4 linked regions of the Diceros bicornis minor genome follow. The protein of the gene in region 3 purifies or fractionates together with the protein of the main gene of each other region. This does not show direct contact. Links are inferred from orthologs where the notes say so. Each region holds a gene or a part of one and is shown on either strand. Other genes may lie near its edges. The genes, in order: TNRC6C, GEMIN4, AGO2 and TARBP2.

What was found.
Region 1: the proteins of AGO2 (region 3) and TNRC6C purify together in Homo sapiens (co-immunoprecipitation; 6 studies listed by BioGRID and IntAct, with this or other methods). This does not show direct contact. The link is inferred for Diceros bicornis minor from reciprocal best matches to the Homo sapiens genes AGO2 and TNRC6C.
Region 2: the proteins of AGO2 (region 3) and GEMIN4 purify together in Homo sapiens (affinity purification with western blotting; 4 studies listed by BioGRID and IntAct, with this or other methods). This does not show direct contact. The link is inferred for Diceros bicornis minor from reciprocal best matches to the Homo sapiens genes AGO2 and GEMIN4.
Region 4: the proteins of AGO2 (region 3) and TARBP2 purify together in Homo sapiens (co-immunoprecipitation; 10 studies listed by BioGRID and IntAct, with this or other methods). This does not show direct contact. The link is inferred for Diceros bicornis minor from reciprocal best matches to the Homo sapiens genes AGO2 and TARBP2.

What each region holds. Positions count from the first base shown.
Region 1 is NC_080757.1:57,902,233-57,910,161, forward strand, and holds the start of TNRC6C (trinucleotide repeat-containing gene 6C protein), read left to right. Parts: upstream 1-4,914; 5' UTR 4,915-5,091; intron 5,092-7,929. UniProt on the Homo sapiens protein: Plays a role in RNA-mediated gene silencing by micro-RNAs (miRNAs). Required for miRNA-dependent translational repression of complementary mRNAs by argonaute family proteins.
Region 2 is NC_080757.1:16,808,159-16,815,188, reverse strand, and holds the start of GEMIN4 (gem-associated protein 4), read left to right. Parts: upstream 1-4,028; 5' UTR 4,029-4,072; coding exon 4,073-4,082; intron 4,083-7,030. Other genes in the region: diazepam-binding inhibitor-like 5, read right to left, coding at 2,785-3,048. UniProt on the Homo sapiens protein: The SMN complex catalyzes the assembly of small nuclear ribonucleoproteins (snRNPs), the building blocks of the spliceosome, and thereby plays an important role in the splicing of cellular pre-mRNAs.
Region 3 is NC_080760.1:53,395,545-53,403,267, reverse strand, and holds the start of AGO2 (protein argonaute-2), read left to right. Parts: upstream 1-4,705; 5' UTR 4,706-4,770; coding exon 4,771-4,792; intron 4,793-7,723.
Region 4 is NC_080756.1:16,798,024-16,804,939, reverse strand, and holds the start of TARBP2 (RISC-loading complex subunit TARBP2), read left to right. Parts: upstream 1-3,910; 5' UTR 3,911-4,212; coding exon 4,213-4,265; intron 4,266-4,295; exon of another isoform or gene 4,296-4,514; intron 4,515-4,818; coding exon 4,819-4,988; intron 4,989-5,781; coding exon 5,782-5,884; intron 5,885-6,471; coding exon 6,472-6,567; intron 6,568-6,916. UniProt on the Homo sapiens protein: Required for formation of the RNA induced silencing complex (RISC). Component of the RISC loading complex (RLC), also known as the micro-RNA (miRNA) loading complex (miRLC), which is composed of DICER1, AGO2 and TARBP2.

The sequences.
Region 1 (7,929 bases), on a different chromosome or scaffold from region 3:
TCACCATCCATCCACCTCTCACTGGGCAAGAAAAGCGGGCATCATCCTTTACCATCTTCCTTACTCACCATATGTATCAGCCCCAAGTCCCTGGAAGTTCCCTGGAGTTAAAATTACCTGTCAAACGTATCTTTTCTCTTTCACCTCTGTCGCCACTCTGGTTGCCTCCACAGGCTCTAATTTCCTGGCTGCAGGACTTGGCAGGCCTCCACCCTGTGCCATCACCTCCTGCCCCAGCTTCCCTGTCTTAACCTCCTTCTCGTCATCCACCACAATGTTTCCACAGAGATCTCTCGGACAGCCAAGCGCAATGTTTAGGGTCGTTCAGGGGCTCTTCATTGCCTTCAGGGTAAAGACCAAACTCCTTCATGTGTCATGAGATGCTCTTTATCATCTGGCCCCTGCTCATCTCTCCTGCTTCCTTTCCCTCCCTTCTCCTTATACATGAGCTGTTCCAACCCCATTGATACTTTGCAGCCCCCTGGAAGTGCCACACTGCTCTTGTATATTTCTTTTACACTGGCTGCTCCCTCTGTCTTCAATGCCCTTCCATCAGCTTCTGACCATTGCTCCCCTTGCATCCTTCAAGACTCAGATCAGAGGTCCCTCCAGAATGACCTGGGTCTCTCCTCCTGCCCTCTTCAGCACCTTGCATGTATTATAATCATAAGTCAACCATGGCTTTCAGCTTAAATCCCCAGCACCTAGTCCACTGCCTGGGACATAATACAAGTTCAATAATTGTTCAATGAGAATCTCTAACTCAGTGAGGAGTAGCGAGGAGATGTCTGAGGCCCAGAAAATTGCCTAAGGTCAAACAACCAGTGAGCTGCGGATTTGAGATTCAGCCTTGCTCTGATTTGAAGATTCTTCCCTCTATTCCAGTATTTTCCTCAGTGTAGTGGGAGGACAATTGCACCAGAATCACTTGGGGGAATGGTTAAATATGCTGCTTCACAGGCCCCATGCTGGACCTAGATGAATCTGTATTTTAAACAAGCTACCTTGGTGATTCTTATGAACAGAGTTTGAGAGCCAACATCCTATGCCTTGCTGCCTGTTTGAAAGGCCTTTTAAGTTTATCACATTTTTCAAGGCCAAGTCAGTTGCCATTTACTGGTGACAAACAGGGAGAACTGAACCCCACCTCCACTACATTTTCACTGAAAAGCAATAATTTATTTGAGTCCTGAAGCTTTTCCCTTTAAGAGTCCTCCATTGATGCCAATTCTACTTATAGAACCAAGAGATTGAAGAACAGAACAAGGGACTTCAGGAGGAAGCAAAGCAGCCCTGTGCCGTGGGAAGTGGCTGGGAGTGGAAAGGAGCAAGTATCATGCACAAATAGAACTCTAAGAAAAGCTGCCCTTTATCACTTGTTTTATTCACAAATTTTAGCGTGTGTCAGAATCACCTGGAAGGCTTGTTAAGACACTGATACCTAGGCCCTATCCCCCAAGTTTCTGATTCAGCAGATCTGGCAGTTGGGTCCAAGAAGCTGCATTTCTAACAGGCTCCCAGGTGATGCTGATGCTGCTGGTCCAGGGAGCACACTTGGAGAACCGCTGAGCTAATTCAACCTTCGTGCCCAATGCAGTAATCTATTCTACAGTATCCATGGAGATAGGGATATGATTGCCCTGTCTTTCTGCTTAAACCAGATGTGGATCTTGTAACATTACAAGCAGGAGTTTCTATGGACAACCTTCATAATTCTTCCTTGAATGAAATAAAAATTTGTCTCCAAACCCTCCACCCATTGATCCCAGGTCTGCCTTCTAGGTTCTTGCAGAATACACTGTGCCTATTTCTACATGGGAGTTCTTTAAATATTTGAAGACAGCCATCCTGTCTCTTCTTCCCTATACCAGCCTCTTCTGCTCCTGCAGCCATTGCTCAATGACTGGAGGATTTCCATCAGCAACCCGCTGTTCCCCTGAGACAGTCTTTAAGTTTGCCGATTTCTTTCTTACACCATAGAGCCCAGAACTGGTCTTACTATCCTGTGTGGGATCTGACCAGCTCAGAGTGCAGTGTTTGGAACTGAACACTATCTTAATGTAGATTGTATACTTTTTTAACAAACAATTTCTCACATTTAGCCATGTTGAGCATGTGGTCGCCCAAAACTAGAATTTTTTCACATGAGCTGGTGTACAGGTAGGTCTTCATCTGTTCTTAACTAGTTGACTTTTCAAAAAAAAATTATTTTATTGAGGTCACATTGGTTTATAACATTGTGCAATTTCAGGTGTACACTATTATATATCAGTCTCTGTATAGACTGCATTGTGCTTACCCCAAATAGTCTAGTTTTTATCCATCACCATACATATGTGCCCCTTTACCCTTTCGCCCTCCCTGCTGCAACTAGTTGACTTTTTAACTTAACTACATTTAACGTTTAATCCTCTTACATATAATTCTGTCGGTTTTGCCCATTTTTATAAATTATTAACTCAGACCTTAGTTATGAGGTGGTAGTGGCAAGGCTGATAAGAGGATGACAGACCCCAAAAATGCACTTACCCACTTTACAGCTTTGCTTGGGGGTCTTTGCTTACACTCCATTCAGTCAAAACAGCCACTAATAAGCGACACTGTGTTCTGCAGTGTCCACACTCATGGCCATCATATGCCTCAATGTTGCTGGATCAACTCTAATTTCAAATATTCTTTCTACTGTCCACATGCCAAACCATGAGTCTAATTTTTGGCTCAGAAAATATGGCCAATATAAGCACTACCTTTTCCCCAGGTATTTACAGTCTAAAATAACAGAAGGAGACAATTATTTTGCCTGGTTTAAGCTGAGGGAGGGGGATACTAAAAAGTACAAGATAAAGAAAAGTTGAGAGGTTACAGTCACAAATTCAACATCAAGGACAAATATTAACTAATGTAATTTTGGTTCAATTTTCCAAAAGTGAAGTTCTGCTTATTACAATGATTGCCCACGCAGGTACCCGGGTTCTTCACAGATTTAGCAATCTACCTAGTGGATGCTACATATTTTGAAAATATTATTTTGCACTCCCTCCTGGAGAATGTCTCTTTGAGAAATAATAAAATATGCAGGTTTCTCCTCAGTGAAGAATTAATGTAAATAAAACGTTGAATGGAAAAGGCAGAATCCTCTATGTCAGCTCCGTCTGACTTCAGACCCTTCTAAGTGATGTGGGTTTTCGGGAGGAGAAATACACAACACAGACAGACATGTGAAGGCGGCTATAGAGAGTGGTTTGTGAATCTGACTGCCGAAAGCTTAAAATATGACAGTAAGAAAAAAGCAGTGCACCGAGCTCATGGGACCCTGAAGGGAAACGAGCGCGAAGAATTTGTTGTGTCTCTTTCATCCACAGACGTTTCAAAGCATGACCCTTGCGGTAACAAAACTGCATTGCGAAAGCAGCGTGTCATTATGTGCTCTTCAAGATGGGGACACGTAGACAGGGAATGGCCTCCTCCAGCACGAACAACTTTCAAGGAGCCCCGCTGAGCATCCACTGCACGAAGGGGAAAGCTGGCCTGCTTCCATGACCCTTCATGAAAATGGAGACAATTCTTGGTTTCAAAATCTTCTCATGACTCGAACCAAAAGTTAAAAAGGGACTTTTAAATTGCACATCGCTCCTGACCTTATCTACGATTAATGTCTAATGTCTACAGAAGAGGAGCGGCGGAATGGAGGACCACGACGGGTTACCGAGCGCCGGGAAGGAACCGTGGAGTGTGCAGCCGGAGCGCCCGGTTCGGCCCGGACAGCCGTTTGCGCGGTGGGGGCAGTGCCGGTGTTCCAGGGGAGAGGGATGTCTCCCCGGGGGCTGTTGCGCAGCTAGGCTTGTTTGGCTCGCAGCAGGGCGCTCCCCGGGGAGCGGCTGCGCGCAGGGGCGGGCTGGGAGGCGCGCTGCGAGCAGGATGCTCCCGGGCCAGGCCGGCGCGTGTACGTGTGTGTGCACGGTGGGGAGGTGCAAGGCGTGTGCACGGCACGGGCGCGACGCGCGCCAGTGCGGGCGCTGGGCGCCGCTGCATAGAGGGCCAGCGCCACCGGCGGAAAATACCGCGCAAAACCCGGGCCCGGGAGCCGCGAGGCGCTGGCCGGGGGAACCGAGCGGACGCACTGGGCCGGGTCCGCGCCCCGCCGTCCAGCGTACTAACGCGGAGGCACAGCACCCAAAGACTGGGAAGGACGCCGCGGGGGTCGCCACGCACCTCAAGCTGAGTGCGAGTCACCGAGACTAGCGCACGCGCACTCTCACCCCGGCGCGCTCCCCACACGGTCTGGGAAACCGAGGCGCGACCGGGTATTAAGGGGTAAGGAGAGGGCGTGGCCTACCGAGACGAGCCAATGGGCCGGGGAGGGGCGCGCGGGGGCGGAGCACGAGTGCAGAGCGCCGATTGGCTAGTTGGCCCTCCGGTATGCAGATACAGTGGAGTCACGTGCCGGGGGCCGGGACGACTTCCTGTTGGAGGCCAACGCGGGGCGGGGAAGGGGGCGCGAGCGCCCGGTCTGGCTGGAGCGGGGGGAGGGGGGGTTCTTGTCAGTTAGAGCAACAAGATGGCCGCGGTGGCAGCTCCGCACCTCAGCGCGACGGCCCCGGGAGCCGCAGCCGCCGCCGCCGGCCCCGCCGCCCCGCAGCGCTGAGCGCTGCCCCGGCCGCCCCCGCCGCCCCTGACAGGGCCGTCCCTGCGGCCGCCGCGCTCCTGCCGCCGCCACCGCGGGCCCGCCCGAGCCGGAGGCGGAGGGAGCGCAGCCGGCCGAGCGCCGAGCGCCGCCGCCGCCTCCTCGGATCCCGGGCCGCGTCGGAGCTGCAGTCCCGCCCGCGGGCGCGAGGAGCAGGGCGCGTCGCGGCGTCGCCGGGGCCGGACCTGGACCTGCCGGGACGCGCCGCCGCCCACCCGCTCGCGCCGCCGCCGCCGCCGCCGCCGCCCGCGCCGGGACCTGAGCCCGCGGCGCCGGCGCTGAGCGGGCCCCCGCCGCCCGAGCGCCCCGCAGGCCCCGGGGCGGCCGCTCGAGTGGTCCTCGCCGCCGCCAGGCCAGCGCCGCCGGAGCCCCGCCGAGGAGCCGCCGCCGCCGGGGACGGAGCCCAGGTGAGCGCGGGCCGGGCCTCGAGCCGCCGCGGCTGGCCGAGCTGGCGGCGTCGCCTTTGTTCGGCCGGGCTCGGAGCGGAGGGTCGCGGTCCCGGCGGGAAGGGGTGCGCGGCGCGGGGCGGCGGGAGGAGCTGCCGCGGCGCGGCGCGGGGCCGGGGCGTGCGTGCGTGCGCGCGGGGTGAGGCTGGCGGGGCCCGGTGTGCGGGGCGCCCGCGTGATCGGCACGGGTGTGCGGCAGCATCAGCTGTGTGTGTGGTGTTCTGGTTCTTACACTGGTGCGCTCGGTGGAATCAGGTTCTCCCCAAACAGGCACCGCGGATTTTGTGTTTCTGATGGCATGCACGAACCGAAGTGTTTTCGGGGTAGGGCCTCCCGTGCTGTTGTCTGGGGGAAGAGCAAGCCCCTGGCGTGCTCTGGAGGAGTGTTGGGGGCCCCGTGGCCCCCTGCGGGTTTGGAATCAGGTGGGCTGCTCCCGGTGTTGCAGGCTGCGGAGCGATGCGCACGAGGAAAGGGAGCCGCACCGCAGCCGTCCTGCGATCAGATCACGTAACCCGAGCGTCTCGGTGCCACCTTTGCTGGAGCGACGCCTCTTTCGCACCTTTATCTTGGGGATGAGATTTGGTTCACTGATTCGTAGCTATTAAAATGTGCACATGCTAATAGTGGGGTTCCCTGCCGGTTGACCTGGCGGAGAACCCATTGGCTTGCAGGTTCTACGGAGATTTGGGAATCTCACCGAAGATGCAGGATCGCTGTCTCGATGCCACGGGGCGGGGGAGGAGGAGCTGCAGATCCTGGCTGCACATATTGCGTTTTAAGGCACTCGACGGTATCCCTGATTCTGTACGAAATGAGTGGAATTGTCTCGAACCTTTGCCTCTGTCAAATGAAACCTCCATTTGAGTGGTCTGCTCGGTTGTATCTAGGCGTGAACTACGGATTCTGAACTCAAAATGGTGCTCTGTGGATGTCCAACTTGAGCGTCTTTAAGGAGTTGCAAGTTAGAGGCGTCTGACTGGTTTAATCCATTGTGTTGCTGAGGTTCGGGTTTTCTCCTCTATCCGGTATTCTCGTCGCTGTGCTGCGGCCGGTATAGGTGGTCAGTTAATGATGAGCACTGTGTGGAGGCTGCTAGGTCTCTGAGCATAACTTGACTCTGCAGAAGGCTTATTTTATGCAAGTTATTTCCTACATTTAGAATTAACTATGGGGATGAGTCGAGACACTGGAAATGTGGCTTGAGTGATCTCAGAGGACAGTGGTGGCCAGTTTGAAACGTGTAGGGGGTGCTGACAATTATGTGCATTGATTCCAAACCTCCTTCGGTGCTGTGTGAAAGAATAAAGGATAAAACTTAGCAGATGGACTTGGTTGGCAGAGGGCACCTTGAAGAAATTTACATTATTCCATAACCGCAGAGGTGGTGAAGGTCTTCGAACACCTTTCAGTATGACACCCCTAGGATGCTTTGTTGGGGAAAGTGATGCGAAACGAGGTTTTAAAAATGACTAGCCCAATTATATTGTCCGAGTTAATTTTATTGTTGGTGTTCACAGAGATGATGATAATCTGGATAGTTGTTGCTTTGTTTACCTGTACTGAAAGGTTTTTTTCTCCTCTGTAGAAAGTTTTTAATATTTCTATTTTCATAAGAATAGACATTCTTAGAACCTGATTTTGTTTCACATGTTGGATCTTGAGAAATTGATAGCCTAGAAAATGATAATGGTAAAATTATTGGTTAAGTTATACTTACAGTGACACATAATAATTTCTTCAAACTAGCACTTCCTCAAGCAGCAGAATGGATCTGTGGGTCCCAGATATTATATATATATGTATATTCAGACTTGATTTTATTATGAGGATCTAGTTTTAGAAGTCTGATTCTAAGTCTTCCATGCTTCTTGTTTAAATCAAAGACCTTATTGACCATACCTCTGTTTTACTATTAAGGTATGAAATTATTTAGGTTACCACTGAAGCTGGCATAAGACTGAATCCTATTTCATTTTTGATTGTGGCATTTAAATATTTTAGTAGCAACGTGGGATACATGTAAAGGTTGATTTTAGGTTTTCCTCCTTTCAGTGTTTATTATTGTTCTTTTTCAAGTGGCATATGTTTTAACACTTTGACACAGATTATTGTGTAACAGATTTATATTTATACTTAGTTGGCTCAGAAATCTTAGAACAAATAGTTGCATTAGAGTGCTGAATAATTATGGTGGAAAGTGGGGTGAACTGTTTCATTTGGCTCTCAATGATTAACATATAACTAAGTCATGAGGGGAATATAGGAAACTTTAAATCACAGTATTTCTCACCACCACCACCTTTTTGTTAAACAGCTGGCTTTACTGAGATAAATTTGTGCTTTTCCAAATGCTGTCATCTGGCTCACTTCCAAAACCAAGCTGGAGGAGGAGGAGGTCAGGGCTGGAGTGGGGCAGCCTTTTTCCTTAGTGAGGAGAGCTTTCAGTGAGTTGGAAAGAAATGGAAGATAAAATTCCTACAGTACTGGCTGAGAATGGGGTATTTGCATTACTTCCCCAACTCCAAGTGAGGGCAACGAGGTCCTGAATGTAAACTTACTCTTGCTTGACTCAAGCAAGTGATGCTAATTTTAAATTTAAAAAAAGATTACTAGCGGAAATTAGTTTATTTCTCCATTATTTGATTTGAGTATATAGAATGTCTTTGGCATCGTATAACTTCTCTAACAACTTAACATTTTAAGGCTTAAGAGCCATTTTAAAGACTCTTTATGGGTCTTTTTGGCCTTCCCCAGGAGGAATTAGATCCATGAGATTGCATGCTTATGTTTTAGATGACT
Region 2 (7,030 bases), on a different chromosome or scaffold from region 3:
TTTTTTTTAATGTATCTTACAGTTGCTTTCTGCAGTCCTAATTATGGTCCACTTTATCAGGTTTTATAATGATTTACAGAATGATGTGGCTATACCTACAGCTCCTAAATTGACGCCATATTTTGGAGCAAGATGTTCCATTATTATTTTTACTATTAATTCACATTTAATATTAATCATGGTCCTAAAAGCATCAAAATGTGTTCATAACATCCTCCAAAGAAAAGAAAACAGCACAATTATTGTACAGTGTGGATCATGCCCAGTTTATAGTTATAAGGAATATTTTTTTAGTCACTGGTGTCCTGGGTATACTTCATTCTTAAGTAATGTACTTAGTTTATAGCAGCTTCCTGCAAATGTGTGAACAGAAGATCTGAAGAGATCTGGTGAGATTTGGTTTCTTTGTCCTCCGAAGTCTTTATGGTTTTTGCTTCTATTGTTTAATGGTTTTTCATGAACTGGAGCTGCCCTGATAGCTATGAAAATAGGTTTTTTTTTTTTTTTATGAGGAAGATTGGCCCTGAGCTAACATCCATTGCCAATCTTCCTCTTTTTGCTTAAGGAAGATTGTCCCTGAGCTAACATCTGTGCCAGTCTTCCTCTATTTTTTGTATGTGAGACGCTGCCATAGCATGGCTTGATGAGCGATGTGTTGGTCCGTGCCCGGGATCCGAACCCATGAACCCCAGGCCACCAAAGTGGAACACATTAACTTAGCCACTGTGCCACTGGGCTGGCCCTGAAAATAGTTTTTAGTTGAGGAAAAGTATTAGGAAATTCTATGCCATGGCAGATGTTTTTCCCTGAAATGTCTTGAATATCATTTAGTACTCCATATCCCAGTGCACCACTGTGCATTGATGCCTCCGTGATAAGGAGTGGAAGCTGAGCTCAGGTACTTTGGCCCTTGCATAGGTCATGGGGTGTGTTGTGCTCATAAAACAAAACCCATATACATATATATACGTGTTGTCCCACAAACATCCCCAAGCAGAAACCAGGCTTAGCTACAGGGTAGTCCCAAGAAACTTTTGTCTGCGTGGCCTCAGATGAGTCTTTCAGAGGCTGGGATTTTGAAACCATCTGCTCCAGTCTTTCTCAGCTTCTGTGTTGTGGTGCATCAGTTACTTCACTTAAAGTTTGACTCCCCTCAAAACAGTAACTTAGGGCCGGCCCGGTGGCTTAGCGGTTAAGTGCGCACGCTCCGCTACTGGCGGCCCGGGTTTGGATCCCGGCCACGCACCGATGCACCGCTTCTCCGGCCATGCTGAGGCCGCGTCCCACGTGCAGCAACTAGAAGGATGTGCAACTGTGACATACAACTATCTACTGGGGCTTTGGGGAAGAAAAAAACGAGGAGGATTGGCAATAGATGTTAGCTCAGGGCCGGTCTTCCTCAGCAAAAAGAGGAGGATTAGCATGGATGTTAGCTCAGGGCTGATCTCCCTCACAAAAAAAAAACATTAACTTCATCAGGACTGTATTCTAGTAGGGGCTTTTGGTAATAGAACTTGACTTGAGCTTTTTGGAAGACAAAGCTCCTTTCCCCTCTGTAACGGTGGGTTAGTAGTGAATCCATAACCCCTGAAGAGATTAGGGGCCTCGGCCTCCTCTCCTCCCTTCCCCTCCCGCAGAGGCTGAGCCTCTGGAGAATGGCTCACTGACCTCAAATCTTGGGCATTTTTATAGCATGATTCTCCCCCCCAGTCCTCTACTCCTGCCAGATGTCTACATATGCTCTGGGAATAGAAAGACTGGGAACTCTTTACTCAGAATCATACACAAAGCCAGTTTTGATGGAACTTTTCCCAGAGAAGAGATGCTTTTTATATATTGTGGACACCTACCTAGGACTCTCACAGTCACCGATACCAGCTCAAGACAAGGTTGACATAAGGGAAGCCATATTGTAGAAAAGAAACCCTGTTGTAACTTTTTTTTTTCATATTATTTATTTATTTTCCCCCCAAAGCCCCAGTAGATAGTTGTACATCACAGTTGCACATCCTTCCAGCTGCTGTATGTGGGACGCGGCCCCAGCACGGCCGGAGAAGCAGTGCGTCGGTGCACGCCCGGGATCCGAACCCGGGCCGCCAGCAGCGGAGGGCGCGCACTCAACCGCTAAGCCACGGGGCCGGCCCTCCCTGTTGTAACTTTTAATGGCCTCTGACTAGCCCAACTGGATATGCACCCTCCAGGAGATGTAACCGCTCTGTAGATTTTACAACTCCTGCTTGTGCATGTACCTCCCAGCTGTGATGAGATGATAACTTTGTTCTTTTGAGTTCCTTAGGAATGTGATGACCCCCTTACAGACAGTCTATGCTGATAGCCATCATCAATGAAACTGAAAGATCTGGTGTGGCGACTCCCAGTCTGAGGGTTGACATTCCTAACCCCCTCCCCTATACCCCACCGGCCTATATAACTGCTGTAAGATTTTGTGCCCCCTTAAGATGGTTCTTTGAGACATTAGTCAGCCATCTTCCCCCTTGCTAACAAGATGTGATAAACTGCCCTTTCTTTTCCACCATCTTGCCTCTTGATGATTGGCTTTTGTCTTGCAGCAAGCAGATCCTGCCCTTTGTGCTGTAACTTGACTTTGAGTTTATCACTTTTCCAACAGCAGACAATCACTCCCATGCAGTTTAAGTGATTTATTGATGTCTCAGCTATGGTTGTTATGGTTTCAGGACATTTCAGCCATCAAGGTCTTTTAAGAAGCCCTTTTCCCTACCAGAGGCGCCGTGCTACTTCGGTCTGACTGACACTCTGTCCTCCTTAACCAGTATCGTTTTTCTTCAGCTCTTCCACTTTTGCAACATAGATCCTTATGGCGTCCATCTTGGACATCCCTTTGTTCTGGTTCCATGCCTCCCACTTGGCCTTGGCTTTCACGTCTGTGGTGGGCGGGGCAGGGATGTTGCAGTCGCCCTGGGTGGCCTGTTTGTAGAAGCTGTACACCAACAGTTTCTCTTGATCACTCACAGGTCCCTTCAACTGCTTGATAGCAGCACAGGCCATCTCAAACTCCACCTGGCACATTGCAGGAGCTGAGGCGGCGCCCCTCTGTCCTTTCTAGGTGGTATCTGGCGCTAGAAGCTGGAGGGGAGAGAGTTAAAAACGCTTGAGGCTGGTAGTTAAGTCTGGAAAGAAGGGAAAGGGAGAAAAGGAAACAGGGTAACGTGTGAGAAGCCCATAGGATATTTGTGTGTGTGTTTTCTCAGAAATCAAATGTGTGTTTTTATAAAGTACAGATTGCAAACTGGAGTCCATTGGACTGGATCTGCCCCCACAGTTGTTCTTGCTCGAATTTTCTGGGGAGGACAACCATTAACATTTCAAAGGAGTCTATGATGCCAGAAAAGAAGGAGCTGCTGCTGCTGTCTGAAGGCCGAGCACTGGGGCGATTGTGGGCTGTGGGGCTAGGCGGCTCCGAGCCGGAGATGGGCAGACCCGCTGCGGGGGGCGAAGCCTCTCAGAGCATGGCGCGTCTATGCTGGTTGGGAGGCAGCCTGGGGAGAGGCATTCCGTCTGGGTGAACTGTGTGCGGGGGGATCCCGGGGATTACCGAGTCGGGGAGGATGCGGGGCCAGGGACGGAGCTAAAGGGTAGGATCGACCGGGACTCGAGAAGCAGGGCTAGGCAAGGGACTGGACAGATGCGTGGCTGAGCGGAGCACTGAAAGCAAGGCGGCCGGGCCTGGTGGCCTGGGTCGGGGCCAGACGTTTTGGGGGCGGGCAGGGACCGGGTAGAGGGAAGGGCGGGCCCGCCGCGGTGGCAGAGAGGCGCAGGCACCTGCCTGTCGGCTGGTTGGAGGCTTCGGGCCGATAGGGGGCGCTGCGGGCCCGGCGGCCTCGAGGCCGCGGGCTCGTTGGTAGGACCGCGCGTGCGCGCCGAGCGGCGGCAGGACTGTGCGGACCGCGCGGAGCCCGAGCTGAGACTGGGGGCGGTGCCTGAGGCGCGGCCTATTGTCCCGCCCCCCCGCTGCCCATTGTGCCGTGGCGCCTGCGCCGCGCTCGCGGCCTTGGGGGGAGGGGCGCCCCGCGCTGCCGCTAGCGTCGCCGCCATGGACCTAGGTGGGTGTCCCGGCTGCCCGGTCCCGGGCCCGCCTGGGCCGCGTCCCGCGACGGGCGGCCGGGGCGGTGCTGAGCGGGCCCGGGCCAAGGGGGACCTCCTGGTCGGGGGGATGTTGGGGATGGGTGTCCTCGAAGAGCGGGGGTCGGGAGGCCGGGCTCTAGCCCGGGCCCCGCCGCTGCTTGGCCGGCCCCTCGCCCTCCGGGCCCCTTTCCACGCGAAAGGCCAAGCGGATGTGTAGTTAGATTTCCTGAAAGTGGACCGGACTCGAGGGCGCCCCGGGGAATCCCGGATGCCCTGGCGGTCTCATTTATTGAACGTCTACTGTGTGCTTCAGCAAGTGTCTTAGGCTCATGAGGCCCTCACTGATAAAACGTGGATGATGATAATGTAACCGCCTCACGGAGTTGAGGGGTTTTCGTGGAGATCACGTGTATACAGCGTCTGGGACGGCGCCTTGCGCGGAGCTAGCGATCATCAGACCAGCAGTTGTGGGGAGGGGTTGCAGCAGCCGTCGGGCACGTGCATCTTGACTCAGAATCCTCAGGCAAGGTCTAGGAGAAGGGAGCGGGGCGCTGGTATAAATCGGTGGCTCTTTGCCCAGCTTCCCACCCTGCTGGACAAGCTCTTAAGGGGATAAGACAGGCGGCTGTTCTGGGAGAGCTGGGGGAGGTACCCCAAGATGCGCCAGTAATAGTAGGCTGTGGAGAAGTGTTCCGGTCCCTGTCCCCAGACAGCTCTTCAGTGGTGGGACGGTAGAGCTGCAAGAGTCCTGCAGCTGTGGTGATTTCTGTCCCAGACCTACCGTTTTTAGTTGCGACATCCTGAGCAAATTGTTTCTGAGTCTCAGCGTTTCCATCTCTAAAACAGGAATAGTCCTCAAAAGGTTGATTTGAGGATTAGGAGAGATCTTACATGCATACCACCTAGCACAGTGCCTGGCATGGAGTAACCACTTAATAAACATGATCAGTGGGCACTCACAAGCACCGGTTAACCAGCAGTGATAAAACACTTGGGATCTGCCCAGGGATAAACTGCTTCTGGGACTTATTCCTTCAAGTAGCACGTGTATGTACTTATGGATTATGTCTCTGGAAGCTAGGTGTTGGGGGAAACATCTCAGTTGAGCTGATAATGCAATAAAGTTAAATTTACAGAGTCATAAGGGAACATATATGAGGGCCCTGGGAGAGCAGCCTGAGTAAGAAAGAAGGGCCAGAGCCCCTCAGCAACCTACCCCTCCCTGGGAGTCTGCTTTGGCCACTGGGAGCCAAGGTGGATTGCTTTCACTAGTGGTTGCATAGGAGGGCTGATCCCTTGGCCTTTTGCTGCTCCTGTAAATGGTCAAAGGGGTGGGATATTCTGTAGTCTCCTGGAATCTGGATTTTTTCTCGCCTCCTGGGGTGTGAAAATGGGGAAGATGTATTCTTGGAGGCATGAGGGAGTGAGGAAGGGGTGGCATCTCTGGGTCCTGGGAACGGGGGTGGGGGGATGGGGATGAAAAGTTAAGAATACTGAATAGTGAGCTGGCCTGGTGGCACAAGGGGTTAAGTGAGCGCGCTCCCCTGCCGCGGCCCGGGGTTCGCCGGTTTGAACCCCGGTCGCACACCAATGCACCGCTTGGCAAGCCGTGCTATGGCGGCGTCCCATATAAAGTGGAGGAAGATGGGCATGGATGTTAGCCCAGGGCCAGTCTTCCTCAGCAAAAAGAGGAGGATTGGCAGATGTTAGCTCAGGGCCAATCTTCCTCACAAAAAAATAAAAATAAAAAAAAATACTGGATAGTGAGCAGTGTTTGTGCTCTGATTTGGTTTCTGGGCCAACGTAAACAAACCTGAGAAAGACCTGTGTCCTTTTTTGTTTCTGAGCTGGGGGAGGCAAAAGATAGTGACAAGATTCTGGTCCTGCCAACAATAGAAAGGTTTGGGGAAAGCAATGTTTTTTGAGCACCTAATTGGGCTCTTTGTAGCCTGACTCTTATCATAGTTATAGCTTATTTAACCCTTGGCAGACCTGGCAGATGGGATTGGGAGCTAACAGTGAGCACCAACCCACTGCCACGGGTTTGACTAGTATAGAGCATTTGATCTTCACAGTCATAATATGAAGTCTGTATTATCCCCACATGCAGAAGGGAAGCTCAGAGAAGTCATCTGTCCAAGGTCACACTGCTTTTAAATGGCTGAGCTAGGATTTAAAACCATGTCTCATTAAACATCCCAAGATGCCTTCCTTGATAAGTCTGTGTCGATTCATGGCTCACTGAAGGAAGGACTTTTCTTTCTTAATCTAGTGCAGTATTTTTTTTTGTATCTACCTCTTGGTTTCTACCAGAGAACCAGGGCCATGAGTAGCTTGTTCTCTTTGATGGAAAGAGCCGTGGGGTGAACTGTTTCCATGAAAGGCAGAACGTTTGAAATCTGTTTGCAAGACAAGGCTATAAGAGAAAAGTGCTTGTCTGATTGCTTCCGTGCCTCTCCTAGTCTGTATCCTTACTTAGAAGCTCACTTGTCACGTCCTGCAGTATGTACTTGGTGGCCCCTGCGGTTGGGTATTGTCTTTGTGCTATTCTCCTCTCTCTCTCACTCAGCCCTTCCTCCCCAGAGCCTCTGCTGATCCATCCTTTGCTGGAGGGCCTAGCCTCAGAGGTGGAGCTTTTCCTTTTCACTTGCTTTTCCTGCAGGATCTCTCTCACTTCCTTGGTTCCAGTGATCCCCTCTGGGCAGACACCTCTCTGAGTCACATTTCAGGGCTGACTTTCCTCATGAGTGTCAACCCCACATTTCCATTGCTGGAGGACGTCTCTACCTTAATGTTCTACCCCAGACTCCAAATAACCAAATCTAAACAGTGTTCCCTCCAAACCTGTTCTGATTCTCCTGCATTCCCTATTTCCAGTGGTACCTGTTGTCTTCCCAGTTCCAGGCTAGAGAACTGGGGAGTCCTT
Region 3 (7,723 bases):
CAGGTTTATGTATAAGCACGAGTCATCATTTCTCTGGGAGAAATGCCTAGGAGTACGGGAGCCGAACCGGGGCTGCCAGCAGCGGAGCGCGAGCACTTAACTGCTAAGCCACGGGGCTGGCCCCTCTCCTATCTGTTTTTTAAAAGTTTTATAGTTTTAGGGCCGGCCCCATGGCTTGGCGGTTAAGTGTTCGCGCTCCCCTGCTGGCGGCCCGGGTTTGGATCCTGGGCGCACACCCACGCACTGCTTCTGCGGCCATGCTGAGGCCGCGTCCCACATACAGCAACTAGAAGGAAGTGCAGCTATGACATACAACTATCTACTGGGGCTTTGGGGGAAAAAAGGAGGAGGATTGGCAATAGATGTTAGCTCAGAGCTGGTCTTCCTCAGCAAAAAGAGGAGGATTGGCATGGATGTTAGCTCAGGGCTGATCTTCCTCACAAAAAAAAAAAAAAACTAAATAAAATGTATCTTAAAAAACAGTTTTATAGTTTTATGTTTACATTGAAATCTGTCATCCATTCTGAGTTCATTTTTCAGTGTCTTTATGTTAGCGACATCTTGGCTGTTCCTTCCTTGCTATATGGAGGAAAGAAGATATCCTAGAGTAAATGGTGTCTCCTGCATATACATTAGGTGCAGCCCCCTTTTGCACTTCTGTATGCCAGTAAATGACACCCTCTGCAGCACTGTTGTGTCAGTGGCCTCCTGGGGTTGTGCAAGGAGGTGGCTCTGATTGCTTGCATTTTCAGAGTTCTTGATTTAGCCTCTGTTGGGTGCACAAAATGACAAAGTGATTTATGTATTCAAATTAAGTGGTTTCCATTTAATGTTGGGTTCAGTGTGTAGAAATTGCTTAGATGTGTATTTTGTTCCTACTATGACAGAAGTATTTGTCAATTCACAGCCATGCTCTTGAGTTTTTAATTCAGAAAAACAGCCAATACTTTTATTCAAAGAATCTTAGAACATTATTACTGGAAGGCATCATAGAAGAGCTCTACCTCAGTGTTTCCCAAAAGTGTGTTCCCTGGAACCTGAAGGTACCCTGTGATTAAAGGGTTCTGTGGCCAAGTGGGTTGGGACAGACTGCATACCATCTATTCCCCTCCTTCCTGTTTGTAGAATCATGATTCTTAATACTTTGTTAAAGGCTCTGAGAAGGTCTGCAGCCAATAAATCTGTTTAGTGTTGTTGCACTCAATGCTTCCCAATTTGGTTGACCTCCTAACCCCTCTTTTATCACATGTAGAACATGTTTTTGGATCAACTGTTTTATTCCGGTGCCCACATTTAAGTCTTGAAGAAACTAAGGGACCCCAAAGGTGACAGCTTTTGCCTTTCCTATGGCATTTCTGCTCTGGACTGGGTGCACCCAATGTGCAAACCTGGGGCTGACCAGTGTTGGGGTCTCTGGCTCTGATTACTTTCCTGCAGTCTTATCAGAGCATAGGGATCCCCAAATACAAAGCAATGAATTGTATCTGGGAGAAAGACTGGCCTCAGAGTCGGCCCTATGTGGTTGACATGCAAGTGCTGGATGAAGGCCTGGAGGAGCAGAGCAGCAATGGGTTGGAGAGGGTTCTAGAGACATTTCACAGCGAGAATTGAGTGGACCCCGTTAAATGGGTTAAGTTGAGTCAGCGATTTCGGGAGAGGCAGAAGGCAGAGGGGCCTGGGGTTTCTTTGGTGGATGGTGAATCTGTTGGCCATGCTCGGGAACACAGGGAAAGGGCAGACTGGGAGGAGGTGAGAAAAGATGAACTGGGTTTGGCATTGTGGCCCTGAAGCTTGGGGGTGGGTGGGAGGAGGAGCGCTGCAGAAAGGGGGCGGGGTTCCTCAACACCAGCAGTAGAAGGGGATGTCTGGGAGAGGTGGACTTATCTAGAAAAGGACAAAGGAGAACCCTGCTGCTAGTGGCGGGGGAGGGAGAACTCCAACTCAGACACTGCTTGGGCTTCCGGGGAGGCCTGGAGGTGGCCGGTGCAGGCAGCGAGGGCGCTGCTTCACCAGCAGGGGGCCTCGAATGTTCCGTCTCCGCGGAGAAGCCACACAATCAGGCGCTGAGGAGACATTATCTTGTTCGACCTTCTGCAAAGGAACCCTTGCAACAAAGTTACCCAGTGTGTGTGCTCAAAAAAGCAGAAGGCGGAGCTGGAGGGACACAATTACAGAGCCTTCTGGGCGTTTTCTGAGGCTAGAGATTACAGTAGCAAACAGCCTCTGAGTGGTTCAGTGATTTCGGGCAGAAAACAGGATGGTGATGTGTGAGGGAGACAGAGGCAGACAGAGAGTGGGCCCTTGGCAGTCACGTGGCTCATAAATAAGAGACTAATAACATTCATGATTATTATTTTTAAATTTCTTTATTGTGAAACGTAGCAAAGGTACAGAAAAGTATATAAAATATGTACAGCTTAAGAGATGTGCAAAATGAACAGCAGTATTACAGGGAGGAGCCTGCACCCCAAAGGGCCTCCCACCTCTCTGGTCACAGCAACTGCCCGCCACCAGCAGTAGCCATCATTCTCTTATGGGAAACTACCTTTTTGCTTTTCTTTAGCTTTTTGCTACTTAATTATGTGTCCCTAAACAACGTAGTTCAATTTTGCCTGTTTTGGAACTTTTGTAAGCGGAATCATGCAGTATGGCTGATGGATTCTTCCACGCAACATTGTTGAGGTTCATCCATATTGTTGCACTTGGCTGAAGAGTGTTCATTTTCATCACTAGATCCCACTTCATGAATATATATCGCTCTTATTACTTACTCAATGGCCGATGGATATTTTGGTGGTACCCAGGTCTGTGCTAGTGTGCATTCCTCTCCGGGCTTGCTGTGCTTCTAAACCCACATTTCAGCAGCCTATCTCCCTAGGGCCACGTGTGGTTAGCTTTTACAGACACTGCCAAACTTCTTTTTCCAATATGGTTGTACTAATTCACACTCCCACAGTAACACTCTTGAGAAAGTGAGGATGTGGATCTGAAGAAGAAGGTGAAGTGGAAGATTCTGGTAAAGCAGGTAGGGGCTGTGTCACACAGGGCACTGTAAACCAAATTAAAGATTTTGGACCACATGCAGATGGAAATGGGGAGTCAACAAAGGGTTCCCAGCAGAGCAGGAACAACATCAGATTTGTGTTCACAGATGACTGGTGGGTGCAGAGCAGTAAGGGGCTTTTCAGGCGGTCCAGGAGGTGGTGGGCAGATAATTAGAGAGGATGGATGGGCTTCCTGGAGGCGATGCCATGGGATGGAATCCCGTTCACATCAATGATTTGGTGAAGATGGATATCCTTGCAAGTTCCTCTCTGGAGGAAAGGCTGCTTTTCCTGCACTTATTTAGGGATGTCCTCGAGGATTGCAAAGAACAAGTAATAAACCTATTGGATGCTAAGTTCTTTGCAGACAGGACTCCTGTTCATCTTTGTATGACTCTAGGCCTGAGGAACACACAGTCCCTTGCACCCAATATGCAGATAATACATGTTTATAGGATTTAGGAATGAGCAGGCAAGTATGTTAAAAAGATGATGACCAACTTTGGATTTTATTTCACCCTCTGACTTCTAATCACCCACTAATTAGGGGAGAAAGGAGGTAATCCTTGGCTGGTTTCCCTGGAAAAGGCTCCAAAAACCTGTGGAGGGAGACTTGAAGGATGGAGGAGGATTTGGGTAGAGGGGAGAACGTTCTGGCACACGTGGGGAGAGAACAGAAATGCAGAGGAGCGTGATGGGGTCCGCTAAGGGCCCCAGGGAAAGAATGTGGGGAGGCCCCTGAGCGCCGGAAGAGGGAGTTTTAGTTTGAGCTCACCATTGATAGCAGCTGAAATCTACCAAAAACGTAATACTATTTTTACATGGATTATCTGGGTTCTTGGCCGGGAGGTGGCGCTGTGGTAGTATGCAAGGGCCGGGGAGCGTTCAAGTTCAAGCTCCGGGTCGGGAGGAAGCTTCCCGACGTTCATGTTTCGTTAATAACTTAAAAAAAAAGCTCGGCTGAGATGCTGGGGCGCCAGGACGCGGACTCCAAGGCCAGGCCAACACTGTGCCCCAGTTCCCCCGGGCGGGTGGGGGTGAAGGTGGCGAAGGGTCGTGCACCCCACCACCCACCGCGCGAGCAGCCAGAACGCGCTCCCCAAGCGCGCCGGAGACGCGGGGGAAACGGGGGTGTGTTTTCCTTTCTTTCTTCCCGGTCTCGGGTAGCACAGCCGCGCTGGCCCGCTCCGCCCAGCCGAGGAGACGTCGCTCCTCCGAGTGGCTGCGCGGGGTCCCCCCGCCCCGCGCCCGCCCCCGCGGCGGGGCCTCCGCGCCACACCGGCCCGCGCCGCCCAGTCCCCGTCCGGGCCCGCCCCCAGCTCCCGCGCCCCCGCCCCGGCCCCGCCCCGCCCGCGCCGTGCACCCCCTCCCACCTCCGCTCGCTCTCCCCCTCCCTTCTCGCCCCCTCCCTTCTCGCCCCCCTCCCCTCTTTCCTCCCCCTCCCGCGTCCTTCCCCGTCGCCCCTCCCTCCTCCTCGTCCCCCTCCTCGTCCCCCTCCTCCTCCCCCTCCCGTGGCCCCTCCCTCCTCCCCGTCTCCGTCCTCCTCCCTCGCCCCTCCCCCGCCGCCGCCTCCGCCCGCCGCCCCGGCCGTGTCGGGCAGACCTGTTTGGCGAGGCGGCCGCGCCGGGGCGGATCGTGCGGCCGGCGGCTCCCTCGCGGCTCGCGGCGTCGGGGCCCGTGGAGCGCGCGGCCGCCCCTCGCCGCGGAGCCCCTCGGCGGCGCCACCATGTACTCGGGAGCCGGCCCCGGTGAGTCCGCGCGCTCCCCGCGGCGCCGGCGGCGGTTGGCGGGCCGGGCGCGAGCGCGGCGCGGGCGGGGGCCGGGGCGGCGGGCCGGGGGGCGGGCGGGGGCCGGGGCCGGGGGCGCGCCGGCGGGGGCCGGCGGCGGCCCGGGGGGCGCTGGGGCCGGAGCCGCCGGCCGTTCCTCGGCCCCGCCGCCGCGCAGCCCGGCCTCCTCGGGCTCCAGTCGTCGGGGTCCCCGCGCGGCCTGGGCCCTTCCCGCGCCCCCGTGTCCGTCCGCGCGTCGGGCTCCCGGGCGGGGGCCGCTCCGGGCCGCCCGCGTGTAGGCCCGAGGCCCGCGCGCCCGCCTGCCGGCCGCGGCCGCCGCCTCCTGCGCCCGGAGCGCGGGCCCCGCTGCGCGCGGCGGGACGGCGGGACGGCGGGACGGCGGGGCCCGGGCCGTGAGCGCCCGCGGGGGTCAGTCCCGGTCGGGGCGCCGAGCTCGGGGTGCGGGCGGCGGGCGAGGGACGCGCGGCTCCGGCGCCAGACCGAGCCGCGGCGAGCCTGGAGCGCACTCAGTTTCGTTTTTCTTTTTGCCAGCACTTCTGCGGCCCCTTTTCTGAAGGAAAGTCTGGAAATGCTGAATTTTGGCCAATTCCTCTTGGTAGTTAGGACTGTAGACTGAGGGACAGGAAGCGGCACCCTAAAACCCTGAAAGTGCGTGCATCTCATTTTCATTCCAGACACGCCGGCTCCTTATTCAAGTGCTAATTGCTTTTTACAATTTACTAGAAGAAGGTAAGGAGATGTGTGGATCTCCTTAGCACCCCTTCTTACTAGTCAGCCTCTCTCTCTTTGGAAAAGTTCTAAAAACTTAAAGCAGTAACACTTTTTTTTCCCTTAATGTAGAGTGGAAGGGCGGTTGACTTGCTGGACCAAGAGAATGGTCAAGTGTTGTAAAGCTTTTTCCCCCCTATCCCGCCAGGCACGTGGCTCCTAAATTTCCCGGCTAGCCCTGCCACTTGGACGGGGCATCGCCTCTTTGTCCGCCAGCTCGAGCAGGCTGCAGGCCCCGCCGTGCTCCCGGCTTGGTCCTGGCCCCGTGCTAGGTGCATTCAGGTTCCCGGCCCTCCGGGGCCTCCTGCTGATGGGGCCCTGGTGGGACCTGCTCCAAACTGGGAGTCTGGAAGCCCTTCCTGATCCACTCGGGGGCCTTGACGTTGTCCCGCGCTGTGTCTGTTCACAAACAGCTCTATGCCTTGTGAGTTCTGAGTGTCTTGTTTCCGATGTTACGTAGAAAGCTGCTCCCAGGCTGAACCTGATCAACTTTTAAGGGCTCTCAGCAATTTGACTGAAGAATGGTTTTAACCCTACACCTGAGAGGTGACTCAGCCTTGGTGGGGAAGGGCCCTGGGCTCTGTTGTCACAGTCCTGGGGGCAGATTTGGCTTCTTGAGACTGTGGGCTGGCAGCGACCCCACCCGTGAAATGGCAGGGTAGTCCCTCACCTAGTTGAGTGAGTAGAGCCAACAGAGGCTCAGAGAGGTTAACAACCTTGCCAAGGTCATATGTCCAGTGAGCATTAGGACGATCTGTCTGATCCCAAGCTGCCTTTTTCTACACTCTCCTTAGAGAAGTGGCTGTCACTCCTTTTGACCTTGACCCACAGTAGGAAATACCTGTTACATCTGGACTGCACCCGTTCGCTCAGGAATAATGGAAACGAGCTTCAGGAAGCACACTTAGCTTACTGTGTGCTCCTTGTGGGCATATTTTCTCGTCTGTTTCATTTTTTAAAAATGCCTCAAGCCTTTGGATCTCCAGGCTCATTTCTGGTCCCTAACAGCTTTTGGAAGAATCTTGCTCTGGTGCCGGTCTCTGCATTGTGGTGGGGCCCCACGATTCACAGATGAACTAGCCCTGGAGTCCGACAGCTTGGGTTGAAAAAATAAATAGGTCTGTAGGATAGTTCTTAGCTAATGGCAGGATGGGAATGAACCCAAATTTCGGGCTGTACAAGTGTGCTGTAGTTATAAGGCTGTGGTACAGTTCAATTTTATTCTACACACTGAGGCTTTTAATTTTGTTGAAAAGGAATTTTTGGAATAGAATCTCTTCAACGAAAGTCTTCTTAATCTTATATTTCCTAATTTAGAATAATGAAAAGACATTCAATCTGGATTGTAGGGAAATTACAAGTAGTTTTGCTACTTCCAATTTTAATACACTTATTAAGCAAATTACTAAGTAAATTAATTTAAAAAATAGAGTTGACAATAGGTCTGTGATATTCCCATTACAGATGCTATTATGGATGTGAATTAATATCTGGATTCTAAAGTTAGGTATGTTACTGTTTCTTAGTTTTTTGAACTGTTCCAAGGAGTTAGTGGTTTAGGATGGGTAGACTCTCAGTGACCCTGAACCTTCATAGATGAACATTAGTTCTTTTTAAACCACTTAGAGATCTTAAACTGTGTCTGAGCAATAGCCTACTCCAAGCAGATTGTTTCTTTTCATTTTACTGTGTTCAAATTCCTGTGTGTTACACCCTTGACAGATTTGCTACAAAGTAACTTCTGTAGTTAACTTCTGTTAACATCTAAGTCTTGTTTGAGAGTTGTCTAAACAGGGTTGTGACTTTGAGAGTAATGGACTTTCGCTGTCCCTTCTAGTGCCATTTAACTCCTCCCACAACCAACTTCTCACCCCACCCCCCTTTATCTCAGTGGAGATATGATGGGGGCCCCTGATAATGGTGCACCTTCGCTGCAGCAGATGCCCCTGGTGAAGCTGCTGCCTGCTGCCGGAAGGCATGGCTGGGGAGTTGGGCAGAGTCCTCTTGGATCTGTTATAAATGAAGAACGATTTAAATAAGCGTGTAAGAAAAAACGATGTCAAAGCTTTGACTCCTAAAACCTGTATGGTTTTACGAAGCAGAATATTTTTTGTTAACTTCTAG
Region 4 (6,916 bases), on a different chromosome or scaffold from region 3:
CAGGCTCCGGGTCAGACAGGCCTGGGTTCAAATCTTAAACTCTCACCACATACTGATTTTTTGACTTTGAACAGATTACTTAAGTTCTTTAAGTTTCAGTTTCCTCATCCCTAAAATAGAGATGATGACAACACTACGTAACTCTTGTCTTGTTAGGAGCATTACTGAGATAATCCAGATTAAGTTCTCGGCCCAGGAGTTGGCCCCCAGGAAGCTCCCTATAAACATCAGCCATGTGGACAGTTTCTAACAAGCAGTAGCAGGTTTTTTATAAGTGTGACTCCCATCCCTCTTTCCTTTTTCCTCCTCTGCAAAGCAAGAGGCAGTAGGGAGGGTACAGGTGGAAAGGGAGGTAGACAACACGAGGGATAAAAAGGAGAACAAAGAAGGAAGGAGCCAGAGGGCAAGGGCTCTTTATCCCCGATGGTCCTTACTCTCCTCTGTAGTGTCCCTGCCTCCTCGTCACCTTCCCCCAACACACACACGTGACCCTAGTCCTGCTGGGAGCCAATGAAGCAGACAGACCAGGCTCTGTGGCTAGCCCTCATGAAGCCCCTCTGTCCGCTGCTGGCATCATCTCCACACTCTCCTCCTTCTGCCCAGCAGGGACTCCTGAAGGGTTGATTCCCTAATCCCTTCTTTCTCCCCAGCCCAGGCAGGGCAGTAGGTATTAGAACAGTCCAGGCCAGCGGGTACTAGAATTTAGGGAGCTCTTTCTGGCAAAGCCAGACTCCCACATCATCACCGCCAAGGGAAGAACTGGAAAAGAGCAGTTGGTTTTTAGAGGGGCTTTGCCATCCTCAGCTGGAAGGACACCCAGGAAGTCCTGAGCCACTTCCTTCTTTAAACTTCTTGCCTCCTCTGCCCATAACTGGGTTTTATTAGGGGATGGATATTTACTTGTGCATTTTCCTGTGTGCTGGAGTTGGGGTATCACACTGTTGGTCTTCCCAGCATCACCCCAGTCCCACTGTGAGTGAAGAGATGAGTGGCAGGCTTGAGAGGGCAGACATTCTTGCCCACCCGTAAGTGTGAGACAGGAGAAAGCAGGCCCTACAGCTCAGAGGAACTTCAGTGTCTGAACAGGAGGGCCTGGGGCGCACTTGGGGCCTTCCCTTCCTGTATCCCCTCTGCTCGCCTTCCCTTGGTGTGACCCTCTGGCTGAAAATCAGGGCGCCCAGAGCCATGGAGTCCATCCTGTGAGTTGGAAGGGAAATGGTGTTTAGAGGAAGGCACTGACTGTGGCACAGAAGGACTCCGGGCGGGGAGAGACCTCCTCATGTGCACTTGCTTTGGTTGAGGGCCACTCACTAACTCCTACCAAGAGGGAGCGCGGCACGGAGCTAAAAGTCAGGACTCCTCCCTCAGTTCTAAGAGACACCCCACTCTTTCCTTCTACTGTCTATAGAGCCTCTGATCCCTTCTCTTCCCTCCCCTGAGCCAAGGCCATGCTTAACAGGAGACTTAACTCTAGGGATAGGATTCTTAACTTATTTTTAAGCCAAGGAGTTTGAGGAGTATGTGGGGAAAAGGGAGGAGGTCCAGGAAAGGCCTGGCCTGGGGAAATGGGTTAGGGGAGCCAGAGGAGATGGAGAGAGAGAGGGGGAGAAAACCACATATGAATGGTGGAGGTGGGGGATGCAACAGCTGGATGGAGAAGGTGAATGCCACAGCTGGAGAGGATTGGGGGCATCACAGCGGGAAGGGGGGGACCATCACCTGGATATCCCAGAACAGGTGCTCTAGGCCTATAATCCTCAGGGGAGTGTGTGTGTGTGGGGGGGGCAGGTTGAGGGGAACGGTGCACACATCAGGCCTTGTCCTTCCTTTCCTTCCCTCAGGGGCCAAAACTCTTCCTCCTCCTTCCCTCTCCCCCTTCTTGAGGATGAGTGGGAGGAGAGGAGGGTGTTCTCTTGCCCGCTGTCCTTTAGGTCTGTCCCCCAATCACCCCCCAACCCCCACCCCATACAGTCCTTCCCAGCTCTGGAGGCCCTTCGCCTCCAAGCTGGGCCGCGGCGTCCCTAGGCTCCGTTCCCCTCCTTCCCATCCCCACAGACGTCGGGTCCAGGTCCCCAGTTCCTCTATCCCCACAGCCTCAGCATCCCCGCGCCACGCTCCCTCACCCTGCCACATCTGCATCCCGACCCTCCCTCCGCACCCGGATCCCAGGACCCGGACCCATCCCTGCCCCCCACCCCCCCCAACTCGGCCCGGCTCTCACCTCGGGGGCTCCGCGGCCGCAGCACAAAAGGCGGCGCTGCTGCAGCTCGGCTCCGGATGCTGCTCCCGCCTCCTCCTCCTTCTCCTCCTCCTTTCCTCCTCCCCCCGCTGCCCTCGACCGGACCCGGGGCGCTGTCACGGGCGATGCTCGCGCGGTGTCCGGGCGCACGGGTGTCAGCCCCAGCTTTCTCCCCCCACCCCCCGACCCCTAGCCCCGTCCTCACTCGGCTTGAACTCCCGCTCCTTCCAAGGCCCCCGCCCCTGGCCCCCCGGGACGGACACGCCCTGAGCGGGGGATGCTGCGCTGGAGCCGCCGGCCTCTTAAAGGAGCCCGCTGCTGCCATCCGGCGCGCTCCAGGCTCGTCCCTCGCCCGTCTGGGTCTCTCACCGCCCTGCTGGCGGTGTCCTATGGCAGTCCCACCTCAGGCCTTATGCTGATTCCATAGGAGCCCCCTATGACCGGTCTTATAAACTCCCTTCTTTACCCTGAGACAGCAGCCCCTCAGATGGGAACCCCCAGCGCTCTAGCATTGTTCCCCCGTCATACCGACGTTGCCAGCTTTCTTTCCTCTAATTGTTACCACTCCAGTTCCATCCAGTTGGGATCCACTCAGCTCAATACCCCGTCGCCCTCCAATGTTCTTGGATGACCCCTCGTTATCATCCCAAGATTCCTCTGGACCTCCACCCCCCGCCTCAGAGCAAGCCATCTCTTCCCTGACCCACTCTCGGAACACTCATTAGAATCAGACATTTTTCATGATCTCTCTCTTTCCAAGGTCACAAGATTTTCCCTACATCTTTCAGCCCAGTGGCTGTGAGACTTTGGCGAGGAGGGACTGGAGCTCTGGGATCCAAAAATACGCGTTCTGCTCTGCACTCAGATTAGTCGATTAGTCTTAAAAGAACAGAACTCTCTCTTTAACTGAGAGACCCAAGACCCACGGCAGAAGGAATGAGACCACCACGTCCCTTAGTCCTTCTAACCCTGTCGTCCCACTACAGCCCAATTCTCAGCTCCCAGAGGGGGTCTCCTGGCCAGCTACAGAAAAGTTCACTAGGCTTTAGAAAAGAATCGGAAACCCCAGAGGCTGCGGGGCAGAATTAAGGAGAAGGGAGGTGAAGGACAACCTAGGAAAAGGAAGCAGGTTCTGTAAGACTAAGGCCCGGGGTCAGGCGCTTAGGCCGAAGGCTGAGCGGGAACTGAGACGGACTTGAAGGTACAAGTGCCCTACCGCTCTGAGGGGCAGAGAACAATCCCCTCCAGCGTCCAGTTAAGGCCCACCCTCCCAGACTGGAGGAGCCAGGAACCGACAGCAGCCTGGTCCCTGGACCAATCACAACCTTTTCTCAAAAAAGAGGCGGAGCCAAGGGGGCTGACTCTCCATTGTCCCCTCGCCCCTAGGTGAGGTAACGAATCGCAATCCACCTAGAACAAGCAAGCGCAATCGGAATAACCAATCACGCTGTGAAGCTTCTCGTGCATGCTTGACCCTGCCCCTCCAGCTGCGACAAAGATGGCGCGCGAGCTCTTGGGTTCTGTAGTTTTCTCGGGATTCGAAGGCCCTGGGGCTCGAGTTAGCCCTTACCGCCCCGCCCCCGGCCGCTTCCACTCCGCTAGTACGCATGCCCAAAGCCCCCGTCCAGGGGAGAAGAGACACGAAAGGCAGGAGGCGGGACGATATGAAAAGAAAAAAAAAGCCAACAAAAAACCACCCTCAGCTCGGGAAGCGACAGTGGAAGGGTCCGCTCCTCCCAGAAGGCGGTGCTGCCTGCTAGGGCGAACCACGCGGAGGGTTGTGGGGCGGATAGCGTCCCTCCTGATGGAGACTCATGGAGTCGGGTGGGCGGGGGACTCCATATCCCAGCATGCCTCGCGGCGGGCCCGACCGGCCGCGACTCCGGGCTTGGCCCCGGCCCTAGCTCGTCGGCGGTGTATCGGGGCGCGTGAAGGCTGCAGTCACGGTGGCGCCCGCGGGGACGGAGGAGGGAATGAGTGAAGAGGAGCACGGCTCCGGCACTACCACGGGCTGCGGGCTGCCCAGGTGAGCCGCCTCATACCGATCCCTGTAGGGCTGGGAGCGTGGTGCGGTGCGGAGGGGGTAGCGGCGCGGCCCCAGCATGCACCTGGCCTGAGGGTTGTTCCCGGCAAGCACTGGGGTAGTGGGCCGTGGTTCCCGGCATGCATCCCGGCTGTGGTCACTGCCTCCAGCTCTAAATAGTTTGGGGTTGGCCCGGTTCCCAGACTGTACTGGGGCCACAGGGCTTTATGCCCCCGACATTCAGTGCATTTGGTGGGTACTGGGTTCCTGGCCTGCACTGTGTCAGGGGACATGCACTTTCACCCTGCACTGGGGCACAGGATCCCCGCCTTAACTGAGACAGGAACAGTGCGTTCCCGCTTGCCCTGGGGCAGTGGGCTCTGCTTTCCCAGCCTGCACCTCTGCTCCACACTGAACCCAGCCAATGGCTGCTGTATTGCCTGGGGTCCCCTGGACCCTGTGTCCCCCATAATGTGCCTGGGTCTGATGTGGCAGTGCTTGGCCAGGTGGGTGCAGAGAGGAGAGGTGTGATGACGGTCTGTGCCCCTCCCCCCAGTATAGAGCAAATGCTGGCAGCCAACCCGGGCAAGACCCCGATCAGCCTTCTGCAGGAGTATGGGACCAGAATAGGGAAGACGCCCGTGTACGACCTTCTCAAAGCCGAGGGCCAAGCCCACCAGCCTAATTTCACCTTCCGGGTCACCGTTGGCGACACCAGCTGCACTGGTGAGGAAGGCTTGGGCAACCTGGCTGGGGTGTGCATTCACAGGGCCCCGTTGGCTTTATTTCTGGGAGTCTCTTCACAGTCCACTTCTCCAAGGCCAGTGAGGGAAGGAGAGATTTCAGGGGAAAAGCCACTGAGTGGATTGGGAGAACAGGTCTGTTAGGAGGTGGGTAGGACTTGGGAGAGTTAGAGAAGCAAGCAGGACTGCCACAGTGGTCTGGTGGATCGTCATCATCCTAGAGGAAAAAGTAAGAGGAGATAAACTGACATCTCAGCAAAGTGTTTGGGGACGTGAGTGCCCGCTGTGCTCTCTGTTCCAGGTGCTCTGTTTCAAATTCCTCTTAAATCTTAGACCTCAGTCTAATCCAGTGAGGTAGGGGTAGTATCCTCATGTTGAATGTGAGGAAACTGAGGTTCAGAGAGATTCATTGACTGGTGCAAGGTCACATGCCTAGTAAGTGGCAGAGCCAGGCTTTGACTGTAGAGCCTGCTTTTTCTACTTTTCCAGCCATCTCTATTTATTGAGAGGAAAGAAAGTGCTGGCCAGAGGAAAGTGAGACAGAGAAAGAATCTCCACCCACGGTGTCTGAGTTCAGGAGCAGTTCTGCCTGGCATGGCTTGATTTGGGGAGCTCATGGAAAGATAAGGGCCTTTCCTTCCAGTCTTGGACAGGGGGAGGTTGGTGAGAGGGGGCTTGGTTGACTCCCTCTGGCTGTGAAGAGAGAGGCTGTGGGATGCTGGTTTCTCTTCCATCGTTCCAGTGACCTCCAGTATTGCCCACACCCCCTCTCTCAGGTCAGGGCCCCAGCAAGAAGGCAGCCAAGCACAAGGCAGCTGAGGTGGCCCTCAAACACCTCAAAGGAGGGAGCATGCTGGAGCCGGCCCTGGAGGACAGCAGGTGAGGGAGGAGGAGCCGAGGCATCCTAGAGGCCCTGCCAGGAGCCCAGGCCCCTGCGCCAGCCCCTCCGCCCGATAGGCCTGGCCTGGTGACACTTAGCCACCTTGACCTGGCCTTTTCCTGCGAGTTTCCTCTGGAACCGAGCAGGATGCTTCCAGGGCTCCTGTTGCTGTGAAGGGTTCTGGGGGGAATGGCCAGCCCCACCGAGGGGTCATGGCTGTGGTTTGGGGCCCAGGCTAGGGAGGGAGAGGGGCGGAGGCTGAGGCTGGAAGGAGTTGCTGCTCAACATGCCTCCTCTTTCTTAGCAAGCTGTCCCTCCCTCTTCCACACTCAGGTCGGGAGTTTGTTGCTCCCATGGTTCTTGGGTAGGAAGAGACCCTCCTCCCCCTGTTTCTCAGTCTCTTTGATCTGGTGTTGGCAGCAAAGGATCCCAGGAGCAAGAACTGGTGGTTGAACTTCCCTGGCTCTTTGGCTCGAGTGGGAAGGAATTTTCTTAGGGGATGGGCAGGTCAGGAGGACCTGGGAGCCCTGCCCCTTGTGCCCCCTCCTCATGGGTGTGAATCAAAGGCCCCCTTCCCCTCGGGAAGTTCTTTTTCTCCCCTAGACTCTTCACTGCCTGAGGACGTTCCGGTTTTAACGGCTGCAGCAGCTGCTACTCCTGTTCCGTCTGCTGTCCCAACCAGGTATCTTGTGTTTCCTGACTGCCTGAGGCGGGGAGGAAGGGCTCCTGGCTCCTGGCTCCTGGCCCCTGGCCCCCAGTCCTTGGACCCAGGCAGGTCAGGCATGAGGAAGTCTGAGAGTAAACAGGGGATGGACTAGCTGGGGACCAGAGTTTGAAGAATTTGCACCAGCTGGTAAGCTCTTGGGACAGGAAGTAATTGATGACTTTTAAATAGCCATGTGGATGATGTTTGACCATGTTTAAAGGTCTTGCAGGCCCCATTTTCTTCTGAGCTGGCCACATGATGGTCCTGTGTGTGAGTCCCACCAGGTGCTTCAGGGACTGGATATACAGCCCCTCTCCCACTGTCC